Oryza sativa Japonica Group: one gene and its partners. The protein of the gene in region 2 binds, or shares a complex with, the protein of the main gene of each other region. Links are inferred from orthologs where the notes say so. Each region holds a gene or a part of one and is shown on either strand. Other genes may lie near its edges. The genes, in order: THO complex subunit 6, THO complex subunit 1 and THO complex subunit 3.

What was found.
Region 1: THO complex subunit 1 (region 2) and THO complex subunit 6 share a complex: the UniProt entries of both Arabidopsis thaliana proteins name them as parts of the THO complex. The link is inferred for Oryza sativa Japonica Group from reciprocal best matches to the Arabidopsis thaliana genes THO1 and DWA1.
Region 3: THO complex subunit 1 (region 2) and THO complex subunit 3 share a complex: the UniProt entries of both Arabidopsis thaliana proteins name them as parts of the THO complex. The link is inferred for Oryza sativa Japonica Group from reciprocal best matches to the Arabidopsis thaliana genes THO1 and TEX1.

Annotation. Positions count from the first base shown.
Region 1 is NC_089043.1:16,265,505-16,273,019, reverse strand, and holds THO complex subunit 6, read left to right. Parts: upstream 1-3,593; 5' UTR 3,594-3,648; coding exon 3,649-3,885; intron 3,886-3,975; coding exon 3,976-4,091; intron 4,092-4,186; coding exon 4,187-4,263; intron 4,264-4,509; coding exon 4,510-4,555; intron 4,556-4,678; coding exon 4,679-4,739; intron 4,740-4,907; coding exon 4,908-4,961; intron 4,962-5,130; coding exon 5,131-5,215; intron 5,216-5,317; coding exon of another isoform or gene 5,318-5,321; coding exon 5,322-5,357; intron 5,358-5,664; coding exon 5,665-5,771; intron 5,772-5,856; coding exon 5,857-5,967; intron 5,968-6,647; coding exon 6,648-6,764; intron 6,765-6,874; coding exon 6,875-6,970; 3' UTR 6,971-7,218; downstream 7,219-7,515. Other genes in the region: uncharacterized protein, read left to right, coding at 814-1,000, 2,089-2,294. UniProt on the Arabidopsis thaliana protein: Acts as a component of the THO subcomplex of the TREX complex which is thought to couple mRNA transcription, processing and nuclear export.
Region 2 is NC_089037.1:606,793-614,268, forward strand, and holds the start of THO complex subunit 1, read left to right. Parts: upstream 1-3,211; 5' UTR 3,212-3,386; coding exon 3,387-3,533; intron 3,534-3,674; coding exon 3,675-3,758; intron 3,759-3,897; coding exon 3,898-3,972; intron 3,973-4,290; coding exon 4,291-4,372; intron 4,373-4,476; coding exon 4,477-4,622; intron 4,623-4,735; coding exon 4,736-4,807; intron 4,808-5,163; coding exon 5,164-5,236; intron 5,237-5,331; coding exon 5,332-5,397; intron 5,398-5,543; coding exon 5,544-5,590; intron 5,591-5,714; coding exon 5,715-5,786; intron 5,787-5,892; coding exon 5,893-6,021; intron 6,022-6,104; coding exon 6,105-6,212; intron 6,213-6,721; coding exon 6,722-6,838; intron 6,839-6,928; coding exon 6,929-7,011; intron 7,012-7,476. Other genes in the region: uncharacterized protein, read left to right, coding at 1-245. UniProt on the Arabidopsis thaliana protein: Acts as a component of the THO subcomplex of the TREX complex which is thought to couple mRNA transcription, processing and nuclear export. Contributes to the integrity of the endogenous trans-acting small interfering RNA (ta-siRNA) pathway.
Region 3 is NC_089043.1:11,599,185-11,606,511, forward strand, and holds the start of THO complex subunit 3, read left to right. Parts: upstream 1-3,229; 5' UTR 3,230-3,406; coding exon 3,407-3,517; intron 3,518-4,170; coding exon 4,171-4,266; intron 4,267-4,786; coding exon 4,787-4,916; intron 4,917-5,281; coding exon 5,282-5,370; intron 5,371-5,908; coding exon 5,909-5,977; intron 5,978-6,373; coding exon 6,374-6,431; intron 6,432-6,518; coding exon 6,519-6,630; intron 6,631-7,327. UniProt on the Arabidopsis thaliana protein: Acts as a component of the THO subcomplex of the TREX complex which is thought to couple mRNA transcription, processing and nuclear export. Contributes to the integrity of the endogenous trans-acting small interfering RNA (ta-siRNA) pathway.

The DNA of each region.
Region 1 (7,515 bases), on a different chromosome or scaffold from region 2:
TTCCATTCCACGAACTACCCAATCCATCCATCCGCCGCGCCTCTCTCTCCTTCATCATCAATTCCGGTGAGGATATCGCCGGATCGACGCGCCGCCGGCGGGAGCCAGCCGCAGGTGCGCAACTATATCTTTCTGTGTACCCCGGCGACATGTTCTTTTTCCATAGTTAGGTTTGGGATCTGACGAGAGAGAGAGAGAGAGAGCAGTTCGTATCGTTTTAGCACTCGCCGCGCAGGGCAGGGATCCGCGTAGGGTTCTCCTGATCTGGGGATGGGGAGGATTAGGAGTTAGGGCTTCGATTTGGGAAGCTGTTGATTCCGGATCAGTGAGCTCTCGATCAAGAGTACTACCTGCAGACTGCAGTCTCCCGAAAAAAAAAACAAAAAAAAAGAGTAATACTGTGGTGATCTGATTATATTGAGTGTACATTATGTTTTCTTTTGCTTGCCATTGCCGATTTGATGGTTCAGCACTGACAGCCGAAAAACAGTTGCCCTGTGCAACGTTCCCAGTGTATTATTTGGCTGGATGCTGCAACATTTAGCAAGCAGAACGGTGAGGAAAGATGATTAAAGTCTTTTTATTTGGGCATGATGTCAAACGGTGTATTTACCATTTTCGCTCGATTGGATTAAGGCAAATGGTCTGCTATTTACCTTTTTTTTTTTCGGGCACGGATCCTGCGTAGGGATGAATGGCAAGTATCAGGTTTTGTGTTGTTTATCACGGGCTGAAATCCTGAATGCTCTTGTTGGAATTTTGTGCAGAGTGGAGCTTGGAATAGGCAGCTTTCTACTGTGAATCAAAAGCGTGATGAACAAAGATAAAGTTCATGACAAGGAGACTCACAGAACGAGCAACGATATAAGTCATAAAACATCTGTGGACAAGGTTAAGGCCCCCAATCTGTTTGAACGAGCCAAGGAAGAGGTTGAGGCTCTCGTTGGAGCTGTTCATGATAAGATGGAGCACAATTCCAGTCCCCATGGAAATAATGCTGGTAATTTGTTTGAACCAACGGTGTTTTCCGTAATTTAATTTCTGTGAAGATGCTGAGCACCTTTTATTATCCCCAGAAAGAAGAGTAGGATTTTAAACTATCTGGCAGAAAAGATGGAAAAAAGGATAGGATAGAGGAGCATCGGCTAGGCCCAAAGCACCCAGAGAGACAATTCACATCTAAGCTTAATGTTACCATCAGTCCATCACAGTATCGCACGATCCTTTGCCTCATCACCTAAGTCACGACCTTAGCTGCTTAACAACAGGACCAAAAAACACAAAGCTCATATAAGATAAACGCACAAGCTTAAGCTCTTCAATGCCTAATAGGCCGACACGTAGTTCTTCAGTAATTATGTCCTACTTCCTTCGTTTTACAATGTAAGTCATTCTAGCATTTTCTATATTCATGTTGATGTTAATGAATCTGGATAGATATATATGTCTAGATTCATTAATATCAATATGAATGTGGGAAATGCTAGAATGACTTACATTGTGAAACGGAGGGAGTACAAAATCTGATCTAGCAATTATGCGCTACAGCATACTCAATTGACAATTGCTAAATTTTAGCTTGATGTTTTTTACCTTGTGTATTGAGTTCCTTGTATAATATGATGGGTCATTAATCATGCATTGGGCATATATCAGAATTTATTTCTCTTTGTTGAAAAAGTCTGGTTTTCTGTAACAAGATTTTTCTGAGATAACACAAACACAAGTTCAAGAATATTAGCATCTTCATTTTTCTCCCTTTTATTGCAAAAACATCCTTTTCAGTAATTGTTTGTCAAATTTGATGCCACCAACCGACTTTAAAACATGATGCAGCTAAATCATGAAACTTTCTGGAAATCCTTTCAGGCATAAAAGTTTAGATATGTATGCCCTAAAAATAGTTTGAATACAAATACTTTGCTTGAATTCCTTCGAAGAATTTGCAGCACACAAAAAAAAATCAACAATGACTTGTCAGCTCTTTGTGTGTGATATTCATGCATGATGGTCAGATTCTTTTATGCATTGATTAACCTTATCTTCCTGTCTAATGATTATGATACACACCATTACAAAATTGTGTAGACCTGCATAAGGACTCAAAGGATGAAAGCAAGGTGTCAATGAACAAAATAGAGACCCACAAGAATGAAACTCATGGTACAAGCGATGATATAAATGAGAATACACCAGTTGAGAGAGTTAAAGGTCCAAATGTGTTTGAGCGTGCCAAGGAAGAGATTGAAGCTATTGTTGAAGCCTTCCACCCAAAGAAGGGATCTGACAAGTGAAGATTGAGATGTTCTGTTGCCTCTGTCTGCACTTGATGTGAAAACATTGACATGAGTTATTAATAGATCCATGGATGAGTTGTGAGATATCCATCGGCTGGTCTTATTATTGCCAAACTATGGAGTTGTAACTGTTGAATGGTTCATTGTACCACTGATATATATATGAGCAGAGTGTGTATCATGTGTGACATGAAAGTATTACTGTTCTTCAGTGTTTGATTTTAGTGTATGTTGAACTTAGTCCTTTGCATGATATGGTATTTTACTTGCTACCATACATGCAAAAATCTTTTGAGGTGCATAAATAAAGAGAGAGTCAATTGCTGTACAATTTTATAACCTTATGCTAAGCCTGTGGTTTGGGTTCAACATGCTTCACAAAATAACAGCATTTCCTTAGTGAAACAAGACAGAAACGCGAGATATGAACGATATGATACCTCAAACCCCATGTTCTTTGAAAAATAAAATTTTGAGTTAAATGTTGGTGTTGCTACACCTAGTAGTATAGAGTCTTGAAAAAAATTCCTCTCTTTTGATTTGTGTGGTTTCAAACGCTTCATCTAATTGATCATTCCTGTTATTTTCCTATCCATAAGATTTGAGGGAACTATTTCGAAGGATCCTTTCTCAAGACTCTAAACGGTGTGATTTTCTTAAAACTTTTTGTATAAATTTCTTAGAATACTGTTCTAATATTTTTTTTTAACTTTATACTCCATCCGTATTTTAATGTATGACGCCGTTGAATTTTTGACAAACGTTTGACCTATCGTCTTATTCAAAAAATTTATGTAATTATCATTTATTTTATTGTGACTTGATTTATCATCAAATGTTCTTTAAGCATGATATAAGTATTTTTATATTCGTATAAAAAATTTGAATAAGATGAATGGTCAAACGTTGGTTAAAAAGTCAACGGCGTCATACATTAAAATACGGAGGGAGTAACATTTATTTAATTTGTTTGTTCCCTCGAATAATTATCGCAACATTACGCGAAGCAACAACTCAAATAGATATTTCATATTATTTTATCAATGAATAAGATCTCGTCGTTGGCTTCTCATCACAAAAAAAATAAATATAAATTTATTAGAATATTGTTTTAACCTATTTTTTAAAACTTTATAACAGTTATTTTATTTGTCTGTACCCTCAAATAATTATTACAATACTGTACAAAAACAAATCAAATAGGGATTTCATATTATATTTTTTAATAATGAATAGATCTGGCCGTTGGTTTCTGATCTAAAGGCCCAGCCCAACCAGCCGCTGTCTCTTCCCCCCACTCCTCGACTCGCTCTCGCTTCCGAAGCAGCGGCGGCGGCGGCGGCGAGGCGAGATGGCGGCGGCGGCGTTGGCGGGGATGGACGCGCGGGGGTGGGACGAGGCGGCGTACAGGCGGGGCATCCTGCGGGAGCGGGACCTCTCCTGCCGCACCCTCTTCCGCGCCGTCTTCTTCGACCACCACGACGACGACCCCGACGTCCTCCTCGCCGCCGCCTCCAGCGACGGCTCCCTCGCCTCCTTCTCCCTCTCCTCCTGCATCTCCTCCTCCTCCTCCCATCCCACCCCACAGGTTCGTTCGTTCCCCACACCCGCTCCATGTGCCGCGTCCTCGTGCGCAGCTAAGGTGTTCGATCTTTTGTTTTGATTTGATTGGATTCAGACCCACCCGGATGCCGCGGTCTCTCTGGTTGATCCCGTCTGCATCGTCCAAGCGCACAGTGGCCCGGCCTACGACGTCAGGTTCTACCCGGATTCGCAGCAGCCGCTGCTCTTCAGGTGAATTGCTGTGCTGCTGCTCGTCTTCTCGGTGGCCGTTTTTGTTCAGGTGACATGGCATGACATTTGGCGACGTGATCCGTTGGTTGTGGCAGCGGCGGGGATGACGGGCGCCTTCGGGGATGGAGATGGCACGAGATGCAGAGCTGCCTTGTGCCGCTATCTCTGCAAGGTGCTGCAAAAGAACCCTCACTTCTTACTAGGATTGACTTGGTTAATTAGTTTGGTGTGTGCTTTACCTAGAAGTTCTACCTGTACTTGCTTGCGCACACCCCACAAAGAAAAGGCTAAATTTTTAACAAAGATGTAAAACATTTTGCAAGTCCCATTTCCTTTTCTAGTGCTCTAGTGCATGTTTTTTTTGTGGGGCTAATGCATGTTGTTTAATAGGTTACTTTGTCATTGCTTTTCTTTCCAGGGGATCATTTGGAGCCAGTACTTGATTTGGTGAACCCTCAGCATGAGTAAGTATTCTGTGAAAAAGGACATACATCTGATAATCATTTGACATATCGTTTATTCTAGAGAAATATGCACTTGCACTCTCATCCTCCATCTTTTCAGAGCTTTTGTTTTCGATTTTGTAGGGGTCCTTGGGGTGCTCGCTCTCCAATACCTGAAAACAACGCCATTGCGATTAACAAACAGGTCAACACCAGAAAGTCTGCATTTTCACTTCATCCAAAGAAGCAAAATAATCTCTTGTGTGCATTTTTGTTCATCGTGTATATTATATAGAAATGATGCATATTGTTACTTGCTTAAAAAAAGATATCTTATTCAGTTATTCTTTCTCATCATTCTTCTTCGCAACAGGAAGGATCTGTTTATGCAGCGGCCGGGGATGCATGTGCTTATTGCTGGGATGTGGTATGTATTTTCTTGAGGTAAATGCAATATATAGAAGTCCTGAGCTACATGGAAGGAACTACAGATTTCTTATGATTCATGTGGCACAGGCTTCCATAATTTTCTATTTTCTGTGTGCCTGCTTGAGAAAATATCTGATAGTAGGTTTTACAATGTCTTGTTCTTTCAGGAGAGTGGTAAATGTAAAATGACCTTCAAGGGACATACTGACTATTTGCACAGCATTGCAGTCCGCGAAGCGAACCGCCAGGTTGGTTTGTTATTATTGTACTGATGTAGTCCAATACCATTTTCCCATAGATGTCTTGCCTTCATTTTGTAGTAACTTTTAGTTAATAGAGCCTTTCCTTTTTCAGGTAGTTACAGGATCAGAGGATGGCACAGCCCGTATCTGGGGTGAGCAGTGCTTTTGATAGGATAATTTTGTCTTGTACTTGAAGTGTGCCTTCTCATGTTCATCCTGTTCTAACTGGTCATTTTGTATATCTGCTCGTTGATTCAAGCAAAGAAAAAGCACCAACTAGCTATTTGTCTTTTTGTACTCTTTAATTCACATCTGGTGATCTGGTCACAGGTCACATCATATTCACAAAATTTATCCTCTCTCTTATGAGTTTACCTTCAGACAGGTTTAGAAAGATTTGGCACTACATGGAAATCCATAAAAAGGCATTCTCTTATTTCTGCTCTTTGTGCACTGCAGATTGCAGAAGTGGAAAGTGCACTCAGGTTATACGTCCGGTGAAAAACAAGATTTTTGAGGGGTCATGGGTCAGTTGTGTTGCCATTGATGCAAGTGAAAGCTGGCTGGTAGGATGCACTTCAAGCTGATATAACAATGTGTTATGCATCATGTATTTTACAGTTATTATTATCTTGGTCCTATTTTTCCCAGGCTTGTGGTACTTCTAGTGGTATATCAGTTTGGAGCCTTCTTTCAAATGAGTGCATCTTTAATGTGGATTGCCATGCTCCTGTTCAAGATTTGCTGTTTGACAGAAACCAAGTAAGTCTATCTATTCGTCATGTTCAAGCTAGAGTTTAGCAAACCAGTAAAATTGCCCATGGTTAGAAATGGCTCATCTTGTATTTCAAAGATGGGCTGGCAAAAAATTTAGGACGGATCATTCCATTCTTTAGTCTTTGTGAGTTTAACAAATGCTATACCTGTAGTAAATTAGTGTTCCCCTAGTCAATTATTTCCATTAACAAGTCATATGATAGTTCCACAAGTGCATGATTTATCTATTTAACCAATGCCCTTTCTAAATTTTTTTATGCATAATTGTTTGCCAAATGAAAGTTTGCATAATTGTGTGGATATGAAATTATTATCAGATAATCTCTCAGATATGCACAGAAAATGCAATAAATTATTTCCTGATGATTTATGACATGGTTGCCAAAATTTGAAGCTTTGTGATGTTATTGTTGGAGAGAAACAGAATAAAATCAAAAGCTTTTGCTTCCAAACAAATATAAGAGTGACTCTTCAGCCAACTAGTTATTATTCCTGCAAGGAAAGCTTTTTATTATTGTCTGCTCACATCTATTAGAGATTTACCAAAGCAATGTTGAGTCTGGCGATAGACAATAGAGCAGCACGAAGGATGCATTGTTTCCCAACTCTTGTGGTTTAGGAATTATCAACTGTTTGTTTTCTTATACTCCATTTTCACCATTCAGATCTTAGCAGTCGGTGCTGAACCTCTGCTCTCTCGTTTCTCTATCAATGGGACTCTTCTTTCACAAATCAAGTGTGCTCCTCACTCAGCATTTTCTGTCTCCATACATTCTTCAGGGGTATGTCTGTCTGTCTCTTGATTCTCATTTTGAAATGACTTGGGTATCTGTTTCACCCTACTTCTGGAGTCTGGCCGATTTGTCCTGAGTTTACTACCTTTGTTGTGCAGATGGCAGCTGTTGCTGGATATGGAGGCCTTGTGGATGTAATATCACAATTTGGGAGTCATTTGTGCACTTTTGGCTGCCGGAGCCTGGATAAGTAAGATCTATTGGAACAATTAGCTAAGCACTCTTAATAGTGTAAAGAACTGGAAAAACACTGCCAAGATCTAATTAAGTACTACTACTAGTAATCATACACTTGGGAGCTGTTCAGCTGTAACACTAGTTCATCTCTGTGCTAACTTATGTAATTCACAGTTGTGCCGTTGCTGCTCCGATAGAGATGACTCTAGATCCCTTAAGTTTATTGCTGTTACAATTTCCCTAATGAATTCCCTTGTACGGATTACCTGCTGGTTGCTGCAACACTGCTCTCTTTGCTGACTTTCTCCCTCCATCCCATAAAATACAAACTCAGGATAGGATTTTAAGATGAGATGTGACACATTTTAATATTCTTCAGATTATTCTTAGATAGCCTATCCAAACTCAGGTTTGTCTTTTTATGGGACAAAAGGAGTACATCAGCTTTCCTTTGGCATCACGTGGCACTTGTTTCTCTTTATTAGGCAATATTTATCACAGCTCCATATCTAGATTTAAAATTTATATGTTACTACCTCCGTCCCCTAATATAAGGGATATT
Region 2 (7,476 bases):
TCCAGGAGCGCGCCAAGGACATCCTCGTCGTCGTCTCCGGCCTCCTCTTCGGCTTCGGCTGCGGCGCCCTCACCGCCGCGACCATGTACCTCGTCTGGTCCCTCCTCGCCTCCACCTGCGCTCCTTCCTACGACGAGGTCTACGGCGAAGACGACGACGACGAGCTGTCCGACTCCGAGAGCCCCAAGAAGGCCGGATACGTCATCATCCACGACGCCGAACAGTACGTCGGCGGTAAGAACTAGGGGTGGGGAATTGGGCTATCTCGCCGATGGCCAATTTAAGAATTTGTGATAAATGATCGCGTGGATTTGCGGGGTATATATACTACTATTAGCACCTATATATGTGTTGCGTCTGTCTGACTCAGTATGTGTGTGTGATTTCGAAAAGAAACAAATTATGAATACGGTCTTGATGTTTTCTTACATAATTTAAAGTGAAACTGAAGTGTCCTTATTTATTGATCATGAAACATGGAACATATTTGGTTCTTCTGCTCAGCAAAATTGCAATATGTTGTGTACAACTTCTGGTAAATTATGGAGTACTAGCTAGTTTTTCTACTCATGTTTTGTGCAGTTGTGGTCAGTGAATGTGCAGAATTTTCTACCATGAAAGGGCTAATATATTTTGGTAGGCCATCCATTTTGGATGGAGGATCACGATATAGGCCATTCTGGAGCAAACTGATTATTATTTTCCATATATTGTATGGTGACAGCTGATGTTTGTTCCATTTCTTCTTAGAACTTGTTCATCCGGCCATACCCTTGACTGTGACTGTCCAACATATTTTACAATAGACTTGTCTTGATGTCTTTATCTAAAGGATGCTAGGCGCAGTTTCTTTGGGTTCAGAGATTCGATATGGCACTAAATTGAGTTGTTTTCTTCATTCATTTGGTTACCATTTGTGTAGAGTTTAACGTACCAGTAGTATTTTTGGTAGGAAGTTACTGGAATGATGTTTGCTGGCCAGTAGTTTCATGGCTTAAAATAAACCTTATGACAGCATATGCGGCACCTAAATGCTTGTTATCTTAAGATAAATTTGAAGCTAACATGGTGTAGGATACTTCTGAACTATTTATCCTTCAGTGGCCATTCAGATACTAGCATATCATGGCGGATGTATTTTTGGGAATACGCAAGGAGTGCATTTTTGTATTAAGAGAAATAAAGAGTTATTTACAAAACCCAAACGCAGCAGGGGACCGAGACAGGAATCAAAACAACCAAAAAGCTACTTAATCCAGAATGCCATCGGCCTTTTCTCCTATGATGAAGGCTTTAAATCTCTACACTTCTCCATGGCTTTGTACATGTGTAACCAACAGCCAATGTGCCAAACACTAGTTTGGAAACTGACTTCTGTCACTTGTTCTTGGTTTTGTTTTTTCCCCTTACACCTCTACCTATCATGGATGCTTTTGCTCAGAATGTTGGAGATTGTAGTGTGTGTACTCTTGAACTGCTCTAATAATTTTGGTTTACTCCTAATAACTCAATTCCAGTTCATTGGCTTTACTGCATTGCATCAGTATGCCATGTGGTTGATGGTTTGGTTTTCATACTGTCAAACCTCCCTCAGAGATCTAAATTAATTGCATGTCCTGCATTTACCCTACTTTATGTTTGTTCCAATGATTTAGGAGCTTTAGCGCAGTGTACCTTGCATTTTGTAAACACTTTAGGTAAACCTTTTGTGGTTTGGTTGTATAATGATCAGATGGTTTCCCAGTTGTTGTAGTATTTGTTGGCTTATGCTGTTCCCAATTCTCTCTGTCGGCATATGAAGTCGCTGGTTTGAGTATGAACGGAGCATAAGTTTAATCAATCCATGTTATTGATACATGCCCTTTGGTTGTACACTTGTACTATGATGTTTAGCGCACAAACCAGATTGTGCCGCTGTTGCAAAAAATTGTATCTGCAGATTTTGTGACGAAATACGTAGTAGTTTGAAACAATGTTAGTATTGCACATCTTTGGTCTTCTGTGAGACTGACCTGACCATTTTGTCTGCACTGCTAGTTCTTGAATCCATAATCACGACACATGAACTAGCTACTCGAGGCTTCAGACTTGGACATTATTGGATGAGAGTATGAATAATAATGTCATGGCGAAAAAAGAAAATTGTTGATCTCGTCGTCGCTTGCATTAGTATACTGATTGCAAAGAAACTTCCACGGGAGAAGTCCGGTCAAGACGTAGATTTCTCCGCGAATCTCTCCTCCATCATCAAGTTCTTTATCCCCTCTTCTAGAGGAGGAGGATGTGGCCGCGGTGACAGCAAGAACACGCATGGTGTGGATGTGCTGGGCTACATCGTTGACGTCTGATAGAAATAAGTTCATTTAAGGTCCTTAATTTGTCGTCGAGTTTAAGGGCTCGTTCAGATTGATGTCTTTTCAAACTATACTTTTTTTTTTGGTAGAGTTGTTAAATATGTGCATCCATTTAGATTCTTGCCAAACTTTAGTAAATGCATAAGAAATCCTGCCAAAATTTTGACAATATTACCAAATTGCCAAAAATTAGTAAGGTTTATTTCGGCTACAATCTGAATAGCCCCTAAAAGGCTAAAACTCGTCGCTGTCCGGGATGGCCGGGGAGCTTCTTGGGCGGGAGGAGGCGCTCAAGCATTCTGCGAGGACCGGGATGGAGACGAACAAGAGCACCGACAGCACGAGCGGTGCGGCGATGAGGATTGGATCTCGGTACTCCTGGAGAACAGGGAAGAGAGACAAAGAGTTGTCGCTATTGTGTGAGGTCCACGTGAGTCCTACTTCCCACATCAGTTAAAACTTAAAATTAGCCACCATACTATCGTGGGACCAAAGTTGATACGGTATTGTGAGTTGAAGGATGAGCTGTAGCGTTGGTATTTCGGTTCGGGACGAATTCAAGGCATGTTTGGGGAAGTTTATGGCAACTGGAGATTTTTTTAAAAGCTCTCACAAACAGTCTAAATTTTCACTCAGATTTTAAGAAGATATAGTTGTAAAATCTAAAAATGAACTAGAAGATAGAAGAAGCTTATCTAGATTATCACCGGCTAGCTTCTCCAACCCCAACCAAAGTGTTATCCTCGTGGCAAATTACGGGATCTAATGCGAACTTATTCCCGTCTGATATAGATCGGCCCAATAACAACCCAAAATCCCAGTAATTCCTAAACGCGGCCCACAAGACAGCATCCCCTACCCCACCTTCTTCCCCGATCCCCTAGGAGGCTTCAACCCCGCATCCGCCGTCGCCTGCGCGCCGCCGGAGGCCGGAGCCCGCCGCCGTGGGATACTAGTCCAGCTTGGAAGCGGGGAGGGAGAGGCTCCAGCCAGTGTGCCGAAACCTACCCTTCCATTCTGACCCACCACGCCATGGCGGAGCCCACGCCGCCGCTGCCGTCGAACGCCGGGCTCCGCATCCTCCTCAGCAAGGACCGGCCACCGGCCTCCTCTTCCTCCGCGCTCGCCGCCGCCACCTCCGCCGCCGTCTCCAGCCACACCGACCGCGACCGCATCATCGTGAGTTGTCCACTCTCCTATCTAGTATGCCCCCGGGGGTGCCAGTGTGGGAGGATGTCATGAACCGAGGGTTTTCTGTCAATTTGCGCGGAATTATTTCTGTGTTGTGCAGTAGATTTGAGAAATCTCGTTTGTTCACAGGGAGTGTTCCGGGATGCGCTGTCTAGGACTGAATCCCCTGAAGCTTTTGCCCTTCAGGCCGTTCAGGATGCGATTAAACCTCAGGTACACAATGCACCACAGTCAGCCATGCTTGTAGGCTTGTAGCTTTCTCATAGATGATGGATTACTGTACTTGATGTTCCTTGCGTTGTCTTGTGCATACACACGTTTTTAAGTTAGTTGCTCATCTGATTTTTTGCAGAAGCAAACAGTGTTGGTTCTGGAGGAGAACCAATCCTTAGAAAATGCTCTACGCAAATTGCTGCAGGAACTTGCAGTAAGCTTCCTTACCACGCATGTGCCTGCACTAGTCTTTGTTCTCTGTAACAACACTATTACAAAGTAATGTGGTAGTAGATGATTTTTTTTTTGGGGTCACTGTCTCACATTTACAAGTTAGCGTAATGCAACTTCTCCTTTCTCCATACATTTCATTAAGTTTCTATCTTCTGTTTAATAACCGTCTGCAAGTATTTACCATGTACCTGAACGATAGGTAGTTCTATTGTTCAAATTGTGCAATCCTTACTTGCCTGTCATGCAGCCCTATAGATTAATGCTTGTTGCTGATTTCGTTTCATATCTATATTTGTAGTCATCTGCAGTTCAATCTGGTAAAAGAATAATGCAATATGGGGATAATGAAGAAAATAATTGCCCGATAACACGTCTTCTTGGTTAGTTGGAACCTTTTTACTGCTCCTTTCTCACATTGGTTCCTGAGCACTATTTAGAGATTTATCTGTTTTCTCTTGAGAGATCTTCTTTTTTTTCATGTTAGATATCGTGCTTTACCTTTGTGAAAGAGGGCATGTTGAGGGAGGTATGGTATTCCAGCTGTTAGAAGATCTGACAGAAATGTCAACTATCAAAGACTGCAAAGATGTATTTGGATATATTGAGAGCAAACAAGATGTCTTGGGGAAGGTAATTGAGAATTTGTCTTTTGTACTACATTTTGTTAAATTGGTGCTTGTAAGGCACATATGATGTATGCAGTTGCTTTGCTAATGGGGATTACCTCATTGAGTTGTTTGTAGCAAGAGCTTTTCGGGCGTGGCAAGCTTGTTATGCTAAGGACTTGCAACCAACTACTTCGAAGATTATCAAAGGTTAGATTCATCTGTTTTCTTATGCATACTCTGCTATCTACTTTGTCGTAGTCCGAATGTCTGTAGATTGAAATCATTCTGTGCTTTCCTTATTTTCTGTGCTGAGCAGTTTTATCAAGTACTAAGCTGACTGCTGTGCTCACTGTTCAGTAAGATCTTTGGTAATGACAAATTTACTGTAAAAATACCAAGCTATTGGACATATCATAAAAATCGTATTGTACATTGCGATGTTGTGGTCCTTTTGCTTTAGTGAGTATTGAACAAATATATTCTTTACATTTCTCGGAGTTTTGACAGCCTATAAGGTTGTGTTCTGTACTAGCATTGATACCCTTTGTTCTGAAATACCACAGGCAAATGATGTGGTATTCTGCGGACGTATTATCATGTTTCTAGCACATTTCTTCCCATTATCGGAACGTTCAGGTTTGCATATTTTGCATCTCTCTGTCCCCTCCTAGACAGCCCCTTATTGGCAAGGAGTGCATAACTACATTTTCCTTGTTTTTCTATTTTATCAGCTCTCAATATCAAGGGGGTTTTTAACACATCAAATGAAACAAAGTACGAGAAAGACGCTACAGATGGTGAGTATGACTATCCTGATAAAAAAAATATTTATTATTTTTTTGTTGTGTGTTTTTCGTGTGACTTTATTCAATTTTTTATTTCTTCAGTCAACTGTTCTCGTAAAAGGATAGAACTCCCTAATGTAAGCCTTTTTTTTTCTCAGGAATTTCTGTTGATTTCAACTTCTACAATACCCTATGGAGTCTGCAGGTGGCTGCTTTGTACCCTGTCATTCTGTGGGATTCAAAAATCATAATTGATTCCTGACACGCTTCTTAACTTTTAAACATTATATTGTTTCTCATGCTCATTTGTCTTTTTATTTATGTTCCAGGAGCATTTTAGTAACCCTGCTTTAACTGCTGCAAATCTGACAAGATGGCAAAAGTTTGTGTCCAATTTAACGGTACATCCTTTTGCGCATTTTTACAATTACATGAACCTTTTTCTTTCCCAATGCAAAATGTTAATTCTGAACTTCTCGTTGATGTTTACTGTTAATGAAAGTGCAGGTTGTGCTAAGCACATTTGAAGCTCAGCCTCTCAGTGACGATGATGGAAAACTTAACAATCTTGACCAAGAGGAAGATGCTGCTTTCAATATTAAGTACCTGACAAGTAGTAAATTGATGGGTTTGGAGGTAAGAACTTTTTGATCAGCTGATACTAACTTTTTATTATTGTTCACTGTTCATAGACTCATATGGCAATTGCTTCTTTGCAGTTGAAGGACCCAAGTTTTCGACGCCACATCCTTGTCCAGTGCCTCATATTCTTCGACTTTCTCAAGGCACCTGGAAAGACTGACAAAGAAGGTCCAACTGGGAGCATGGTTAGTCCACTAAATGACTTCTCTGATTGTTTTCCATGGACAGTTGAACTTAGACTTGAGCATCTGAAATTGTGCTGTTACCAAATTTTTAGTATTCACCTATTACTACATGATTGCTCTTGAGTTTGTGATAGTCACAACAGCAAATGTGGCAAAGCTAGCATTAGTTCTCATGAAACCATCAGCTCCTTTTTCTGTGCATGCTATGTGAGATCGTAAGTAGTCTGTGATAGCTATTCCCATTTTAGTTGAACCGATTATTATCACTTATTAGCATACTTCTCACAGCGTGTGCTACTGGGCATGTAAGTATTAACAAACACTGATTGCACAAATTGTCCAAACCGTATGAAGTTGCTTGGCAGTGCTAGTTTTTAGTATAACAGTGCCAACTAATACCAACTGCCTGCCTGATACAACTGGGTTATAGTGGCTAGTACAGACAATGAATCAGGATTAAGGAAATGCCACTCTGTACTCTGTATTAACTTTATGCTCTCTACAATCAGAAAGAGGAAATCGATTCTTGTGAAGAGCGTGTTAAGAAACTTCTGGAGATAATTCCACCAAAAGGGAAGGACTTCCTACAAAGCATCGAGCATATTCTTGAGCGGGAGAAAAATTGGGTATCCTCTTAGCTGCATGTAAGCAATATTTTATCTTAACATAGTAATTCTCACAACCAATGATTCTGTTCCTGCTGGCTCAACTTGAAGGTATGGTGGAAACGAGATGGGTGTCTAGCGTTTGAAAAACAACCTTTTGAAAAGAAACCAGGCCAAGCTGGAGTCAGAAAACGGTATGCTACTTCCTTTCTTCTGGCACTGAATTTGCCATTAGTCTATTATTGGTTCTGCTGTTGATGTGCTAGCCTATCATAATGTGTAACAGTTACAATAGATTTGAAATGATTTTAGTGCTAACTAAAAGAACAGCAGCTATCAACTGTGATATTGTCTTATTAAATACATCCCGCAAAGCATACTGTTTATAATTTTGATGGTACTGGGAGCACCATATCCTAAACATTGTGTCACTGGGAGCATTAACTTCAAATACACTTTATCTGAATTACCATGGAGCAGACAAATTAGTTATTTTATAATTTTGTGCTGCCAGTTTTTTTAATGTTCGCCAGAAGCAAGAATCATGAATTTCACCTGTTTCACATCAACATTCTTATATAGTGTCAACTTACAATGTTATGGATTTAGATGTGTTGTTATATGTATGAAGTTCACAATTTGTATTCATTTGTGCTAAT
Region 3 (7,327 bases), on a different chromosome or scaffold from region 2:
AGTGGATACCTTCTGGCCTATCTCGCTCTCAAAAGAGGAGGCTACAGCGTCTCCAGGCCATAGGTCAAAAGGAAAAGGAGGCCGAAGATGTGGAGAACAAAACATATAACAATTTAGATCCTCGAACGACACCTAAGCGAGTGTGGAGACCTAAAGAAGTAAAAGTTAAGAGACCGGTGATTTCCCATAGTAGTGATAAATCCAATTTCATGAGAGAAGAATCATCGGTCATTAGAGATAAGTCTCCTTCACATGATGCTGTGGATGTTGGTGCGGTGTTCGTCTTGCCTTCGAAATCGTGCAGTCGAGAAAGCCGATTTTGCTTAGGGGGCAAGACATTATTATGTTTATGAGGGAACCAAGAGAAGATGAACGGCGATGGATACAACATCACATCTTTGAGCCGCCGTTTGTTAGATGCTAAGGCAAGGTATGGGTTTATTGTGTTCAATGTTATATTATACGCCTATGCCATGTTAGAACATTGCTTGCTATCTAGCACATGTGTGTTTTTGCTTATCAAATTGATATTATACATACATGTTGCGAATGCCAGTTCTAGGTAGTAGAATTGGTAGGTTGGCATATAATTTGTTTGAAGTATGACTTGGCTCATGACTCTTTGATATTTATTTAAAGCCAAATCATATGTCTTTTTATGGATCACCATATAAGATATAGATTTCATATTTATTGCACCATGAAAGTTTTGCCTATTAGTAATTCGGCTAATGTCAATGGTCAGTGTCATGATTTGTTCTAGAGTTATTGTATTTAGGAACATTGGCATTATTAATATTTTGCATACATGCTCAAGCCGATTACTTACATTTTTAGTTTATTGGAATCTATGCATGTGGCACATATGACTTTGGTGATTCATTATTGATCATACTTCAATTGGCTAAGTGTTGTGATGCCATGATGATTATTGTTTCAAAAGCCAATTGAATTAGTATTCATCTAGACATATTAGTTGAATGTTATAATTTTTCATATATCTAGAGAGAAGGAATTTTGGTCCAATAATTTGATACACCAAGCATTTGGCTATTATGTGAAGAAAAATTATATACTAAAGGCCGATGCTTGATTTCAAAAGTTTGGACGAAATTGGCAAAGTCATAGACCTAGGATGGTCTAACCGGCATTGCACGGCCGGTCTGACCGGCTCTACATGGCCGGTCTGACCGGACAGACAGGGTGGTCTGACCGGCATTGCGTGGCCGGTCTGACCGATAGCGGGCCGAGAGCTGGGGGGCACGTTACAATTGATTAAAAGGCCGAATTAATTGTGAATTCGGACATTTGTGCCCATGAGTTAGAAATAGCTTGGAGAATTCCTTCGATTAGATATTTGAAGATCCTACACTTAAGGTTGATCAGAAGATTCGGCGGCAAGCGCTCAAATATTATATCGCCGAAAAATAGATGGAGTATTACTTAGATAATGATCAGTTTAAAGTTGCTAGGAGAGTAGTACATGAAGGGATTTGTGAAATTCATCAATCGGCCCGTAAGATAAATTGGTTGCTTAGGAGAGTGTGGTTTCATTGGCCGAAAATAATTGATGATTGTTTCAAATGTTATAGAGGGAGTGAAGCTTGTTAACGGATCGGCAATGTTCAATTAGCGCCTACCGCTGTGTTGAATCCTATCATTAAAGTATGGCCGTTCTGAGGTTGAGCTTTGGATTTCATTGGTCAAATTTATCCTTCGTCATCAAAAGGGCGTTGGTTCGTGCTAGTTGCAATGGATTACTTCACTAAGTGGGCCGAAGCCGTGCCGCTCGAGAATATTACTTGTACGGAGTGAGAAGTTTTGCCGAATCTTATGCTATTAAGTTGATGAGTTCTTCTCTTTACTACGCTCAGGCTAATGGATAAGCCGAGTTGAGTAATAAAACATTGTTGAAATTGTCGTTTTGCCAGTTGGGGTAAATCTTGGCTCTCTTCGGTATTTCAAGCAAGACGACTTGTCGGTTGAAGATTACAAGACCTTGATGGGAAACAATTTTAAAGACGTCATCGACAAGCGTTTAAAGACTTTGAAGGAGATGAAGACACTTCAAGACGGTGTTTTCAGAGAGCAATTAATGGGAAATACTTGAAGAAATATTTCCCGAGCATTTGGCAAGATGCTTAGGAAGTCCTATGGGCGGTAATTGGATTATCACCCTGACATAACATGTTCTATGCTTTTAGGTTCACGTATGTTTACAAAAAAGGCAGGGGGGCATGTGTTTACACCCAAATTTGGCACCTATGGACGAAATAGAGGAAAATTGCCAAAGTTTGGAAAGTGACGGGTTTCCTTCACAGGGCCGGTTAGACCACAGGTGTGTGGGCGGTCTGACCGTCTAGTAGGGCCGGTCTGACCGCAGGTATGTGGGCGGTCAAACCGTCAGGGTCCGAGTCCGAGTTTGTTTTCGTCGGGTCTCGGGTTTCCTTGCCTGGGAAGGTAGGTTTCGTGTTTCCTTTGGTTTCTATCCCGAGTTGGATATGGAGAAGGGCCTGTAGAGGGTAAGACCAACCCCTATTTAAGGGACAAGGCCGGTTCATTGTAAAACCCCCGAATACAATTTACTTGAATCGTTCTTTTACCATGTTTTCTATTTTACCCTAGTTTTAATCCATCTTTGTCGGTTTGCGCCGTAAACCGTCCGCCGCCGCTGCGAGAGTGCGACACCTCTTTGTAGATTTGTCCTGAAAACCTTCCGTATTGCCTATGAGACAGGTTAGTTATCCTCATATCGATCTAAATCGGCTTAGAGGCTGATTTTTGATCTCTAAATCGGCTCCGCTAGCCGGTTTAGCTGTTTTTCTACAAAACCCATCTTGATTTGGCCGTTTGGCTAGATCGAGGTGGTTGGCGACTCCATATCACCGCAAGGCGTTTAGGTGCTGCGATCGTAATTGTCGACTTGTCACAAAAAGTTGCCAACAGCCGCAGCGGCTGTCCCCTCCAAAGAGGTGGTGGAGAGAGATGAGAAAAAAAAAGAGGGGAAAGATGAATCTAAGAAGACGAAGATGGATGGAAAATATTACTATAGTGGCATGGTTCTAATTTTATAAAATTTCAATGTCACAATTAAAAAAGACGAATTGTAATAACATTTATCGGTATATTTACAATGGCATGGATTCAATTAAACAAAAACCAAAGGATGTGTCCATGGCTCCATGGTAAGGATAACGCATGAACTTGTGGCATGAATAAACAAAAAAGTAGAAGGACGTTTCTGCGAAAACCCTCTCCTCTTCCCCGCCGACGCCGTCCCCGGCTCTCCCTCCTCCGTCTCGCGCCCGCCGCCGCCGCCACCGCCACCGCCGCCGCCGCCTTGCGCCTCGTGACGCGGTGAGTGGGGAATAGCAAAACCAGACCCGTGCCCCAGTCCGCGGGGACAATGGAGGGGAAAGAAGACGACAGACGGCGGGGCGGCGGTGGCGGAAGCTCGACGCCGGGGATGAACCTGAAGAACCTGGTGTCGAGGGAGTATTTCGGCCACAAGAAGAAGGTAACCTTTTCGATTCCCCCCTCACCAATCCTACGCGGGGATAAGTTTTTTTCTCATGAGGTCCTAAACCCTCAAAAGTCCTGCGAGGGGGAAGCCCTAAAATCCGGATGTTACAAGCAAAAATTAGGACGAAAATGCATCCATCTTTGGTTCACACGTACGGTTTTGTTTCTAATTCTAGAGCAGGATATAGTGATTGATTCCTCGCGTTCATGCCGTATATATGCTGATTCTTTTGCTCTAGGGCTAAGCCATGTTGAGATTGAATGAAGCTTTGGTTGGTTGCTTTCCTTCTGGGAGCTGGTGAATGAGCGCATTGTCAAATATGATTCCTGGTCATAATTACTCCTAATTTTTGAAGGAATTTGGTTTCACGAAAAGGGACTTCTTGTCTGACTTTGTAAAGTTGCTACTCCTCTGAGGGGAAGAATTCAAAGGGAAAAAAAAATCTTACTTGCAGAAAGAATCATAGTACAACGATATTTCTCTGTTTCTTTCTTGAATTCTGTTTCTTGTTTTTCTAAATAATCCTTCCACACATGGAGGTGCAGCATTTAACTGGTTCTGTCGCTTTTTGCCTTCTTTTTTATCTATCTTACATACATAATCAGCCTTAAATTTTGTATAATTCTGATCTTTTGTTTTACTGTTAGGTGCACTCTGTAGCATGGAACTGCCTAGGCATGAAGCTTGCTTCAGGCTCTATTGATCATACTGCACGTGTATGGAGTATCGATCCCCATGGCCATGTAAACATTCTCTCCTTTCCTGATTGCAAACAAAATAACCTTCATTGTTATTATGGAATTATTAGATAAACGCATTTATTGTCATTCACTATGAATAACTGTCACCCTTTTTTTATGAACATTTCTATAAATTTGAAAGATAAGCATGATGATTAATTGGAAATATCTCCCGCTGTATAATTTAAAATTATAGAAACTCAGACAGTAATCACACTTAAGCATACCATAGCCTGTGTCTCTGAGACATATGTTTGAGCTATTTAATGTGAAATTGTGAATGATTTCTTAGCTAGGGGTTCTTTTGGATCCCTCAGTTGTACTTATTTCTTCTTCTTAATGAAAGGAAGCGCAGCCCTCCTGCGGTTTTGAGGAAAATAAATTCTAAGCTAAATTATATTGTTTTGAGAACACTAAGACATTTTTGGTTGGAACGTAGGAGGGGAAAAAACCCCAGATGGTTTCTATTTCCCTGGAAGTACCAAGTCAGTACTGTGCTGATTAGGGTTTTTATATTGCACAGTCCAAGGTTAAAGACATTGAATTGAAAGGCCACACAGATTGTGTAGATCAGCTCTGCTGGGATCCGAAGCATCCTGATACAGTTGCTACAGCAGCTGCTGACAAGTCAATTCGCCTCTGGGATGCACGGAGTAAGTGGTTCCCTTCATCTTTGAAGGTTAAAGAACTAAGATATCCACAGTTGTGTTCAGCATTCTCAGCTTCTCTCTGAAATTGATGAATCCCTTTTTGTCACTTTGTTCAATCCCTATGTTCCATTTACAATGAACTTGTTGTTACCAGACAAGATGTCTTATTCTTTTGTGTAGTGACTCTACCTGAAAGTTAGTTTCAGAATTTTTTTAGTTGTACTTCGATTTTTTTCATAGGATTGTACATCATACTTTTGATTCTCTATTTATAACTCTACAAGATTTGGGCCTGCAGTTTGCCTTTTAAAATTATATTATTTATTTGACCCGCTATTTCTCAAACTGTTTGACGTGTTCTTTTCCAGGTGGAAAATGTCAAGTCGTCGAACTTAGTGGAGAAAACATCAATATCACTTATAAACATGGTGGTACTCAAATAGCTGTTGGAAACAAGGTATGTATTGCCTAGGCTGTTATCCCTGTTAACTTCAAGAACGGTAGTCATTTATGACTAAGGAACTGGTTTTGATTTGCATATATCATGCCAGAAGAGGGTTACAATATTTTGAAAGGAATTTATAAAATTCTTTCCAAAGAGAAATGTGTAACTATAATCTGATTTATATTAGATTGAGTGATGAGTTATTTGGCAAATTAGCATCTAAATTGCAATGTTCATTCTTGTGTTTGACATGCTCTCTGTATAAGTATCAATACAACATAGCTCAGTATGGACACACTTGAATATATACATATTGATCCTAAATTAGATGGAATTATTTACTTTTTTTGCTATGCAAAGTTAGTAAAGTGTTATTGAGCATGGGGACTGGGGAGTGGTGTGTAAATTTTATAATAATTGTAGTAAACCTATTTTTATAAAGTTTACAAGTTAGTTCGCAAGGTCCCGCGTACACCAATGTGTTTACTTTGTGAGTTCTAGTTTTATAAAATTGTACAAGTGTAGTAACAGCTGTCACTATGATTTGCAGGAGGATGAGTTGACAATAGTGGATGTTCGGAAGCTAAAAGCCCTTCACAAATTTAAGTTTAATTATGAGGTACTTTCCACTTGAAGGTTTGAATTGTTGAAACATTCTTCTAGCAATTTTCTTCTTCCTTTTGGAATCTTTCGCTGCTCTGAATGAACATGCACATATAGTCATATACCTTTTGAGAAAAAGTAGAGTGGGCATAAGTCGGCAGCATGTGCATCTTTGTCTGGAACAGGAAAATTGCCTGCTGGTATTTGAATTAGTACTGACTACTGAGTGTGAATTACCTAACTATTCGATGTACTTTAATTTCATTTGCTGCATTACTTATGTTGCAGTTTTGTAAATTTTCTATTTCAACTAGCTAAATGCCCGTACACCTGCTACTGATAAAAATGAATCATATAGCTCCTCAGATCAGTTAACTTTTCTGAAGTAAATTATTGATTTGTTGTTCCTCAGATAAATGAGATTGCATGGAACAAAACTGGAGATTTATTCTTCATCACTACTGGACTTGGTAAGATACAAAACCCATATGTTGTTTTAAGTTTCAATATCACACCAGTTGGTATCAGTGTAATTACATTGTTTGCTGTTTATGTAGGAAATGTTGAGGTATTTGGTGATCCTTCCCTTGATGACACCCTTCATGTGGTTGGCAAATTGAATGCTCATACAGCGGGTTGTTATTGCATTGGAATGGATCCCCTTGATAGGTGATGATTTTTTCTGTCTTCGCTCATTTGTTCAACATCAACTCACATCTCAGCCAATGACATTTCATTGTAACTACATTATCTTTTGAACTTTATGCTATAATCATTAGGTTCTCTATATGCTGTTTGACTTCGCTTTGAACTCTAATTCTCTTAATGCCTTATACTGATGCTAGTTGTTTTATGTAGTTAACGATTTTTTTTATTTCAAGGTAATATAAAGCATAGGCATGAGTGAAGTTATTTGACATACTATATTTTGGGTATTACTAATGTTGTATTCTATCTCGGTCTTTTGACAGTTGATAGTGATACTGGTATATGTAAAAAAAAGAACTTTCTGTCCAAGCTACCTTTAAGTGAATCTCACCTGTGATAGCACCTAGCCATAAGTGATTCTATGATGACCCATGCCTAAATATAAATGGGACACTGAATTCAGTGTTTCTCTACTACTCTGAAAGGCAAGTTTCGTTCGTCTGTGCATGCTTCCTATCAGGAGTGAAGTTTTGTTTACCCGCAGAAAAAAAAAAACAGCCCTCCAAAAGAAGTGGACCCACATATAAAAACGCCCCACTGGTAAAAAACTGGGATAGAAAAACTGAATAGCACGTCCTTCCCCCATCTCCCGTTGCAACTAACAGGCACCTTTACTAGCATGTAAAAGAAAGGGTGCAAAATAGTTTGCCACTTGTTG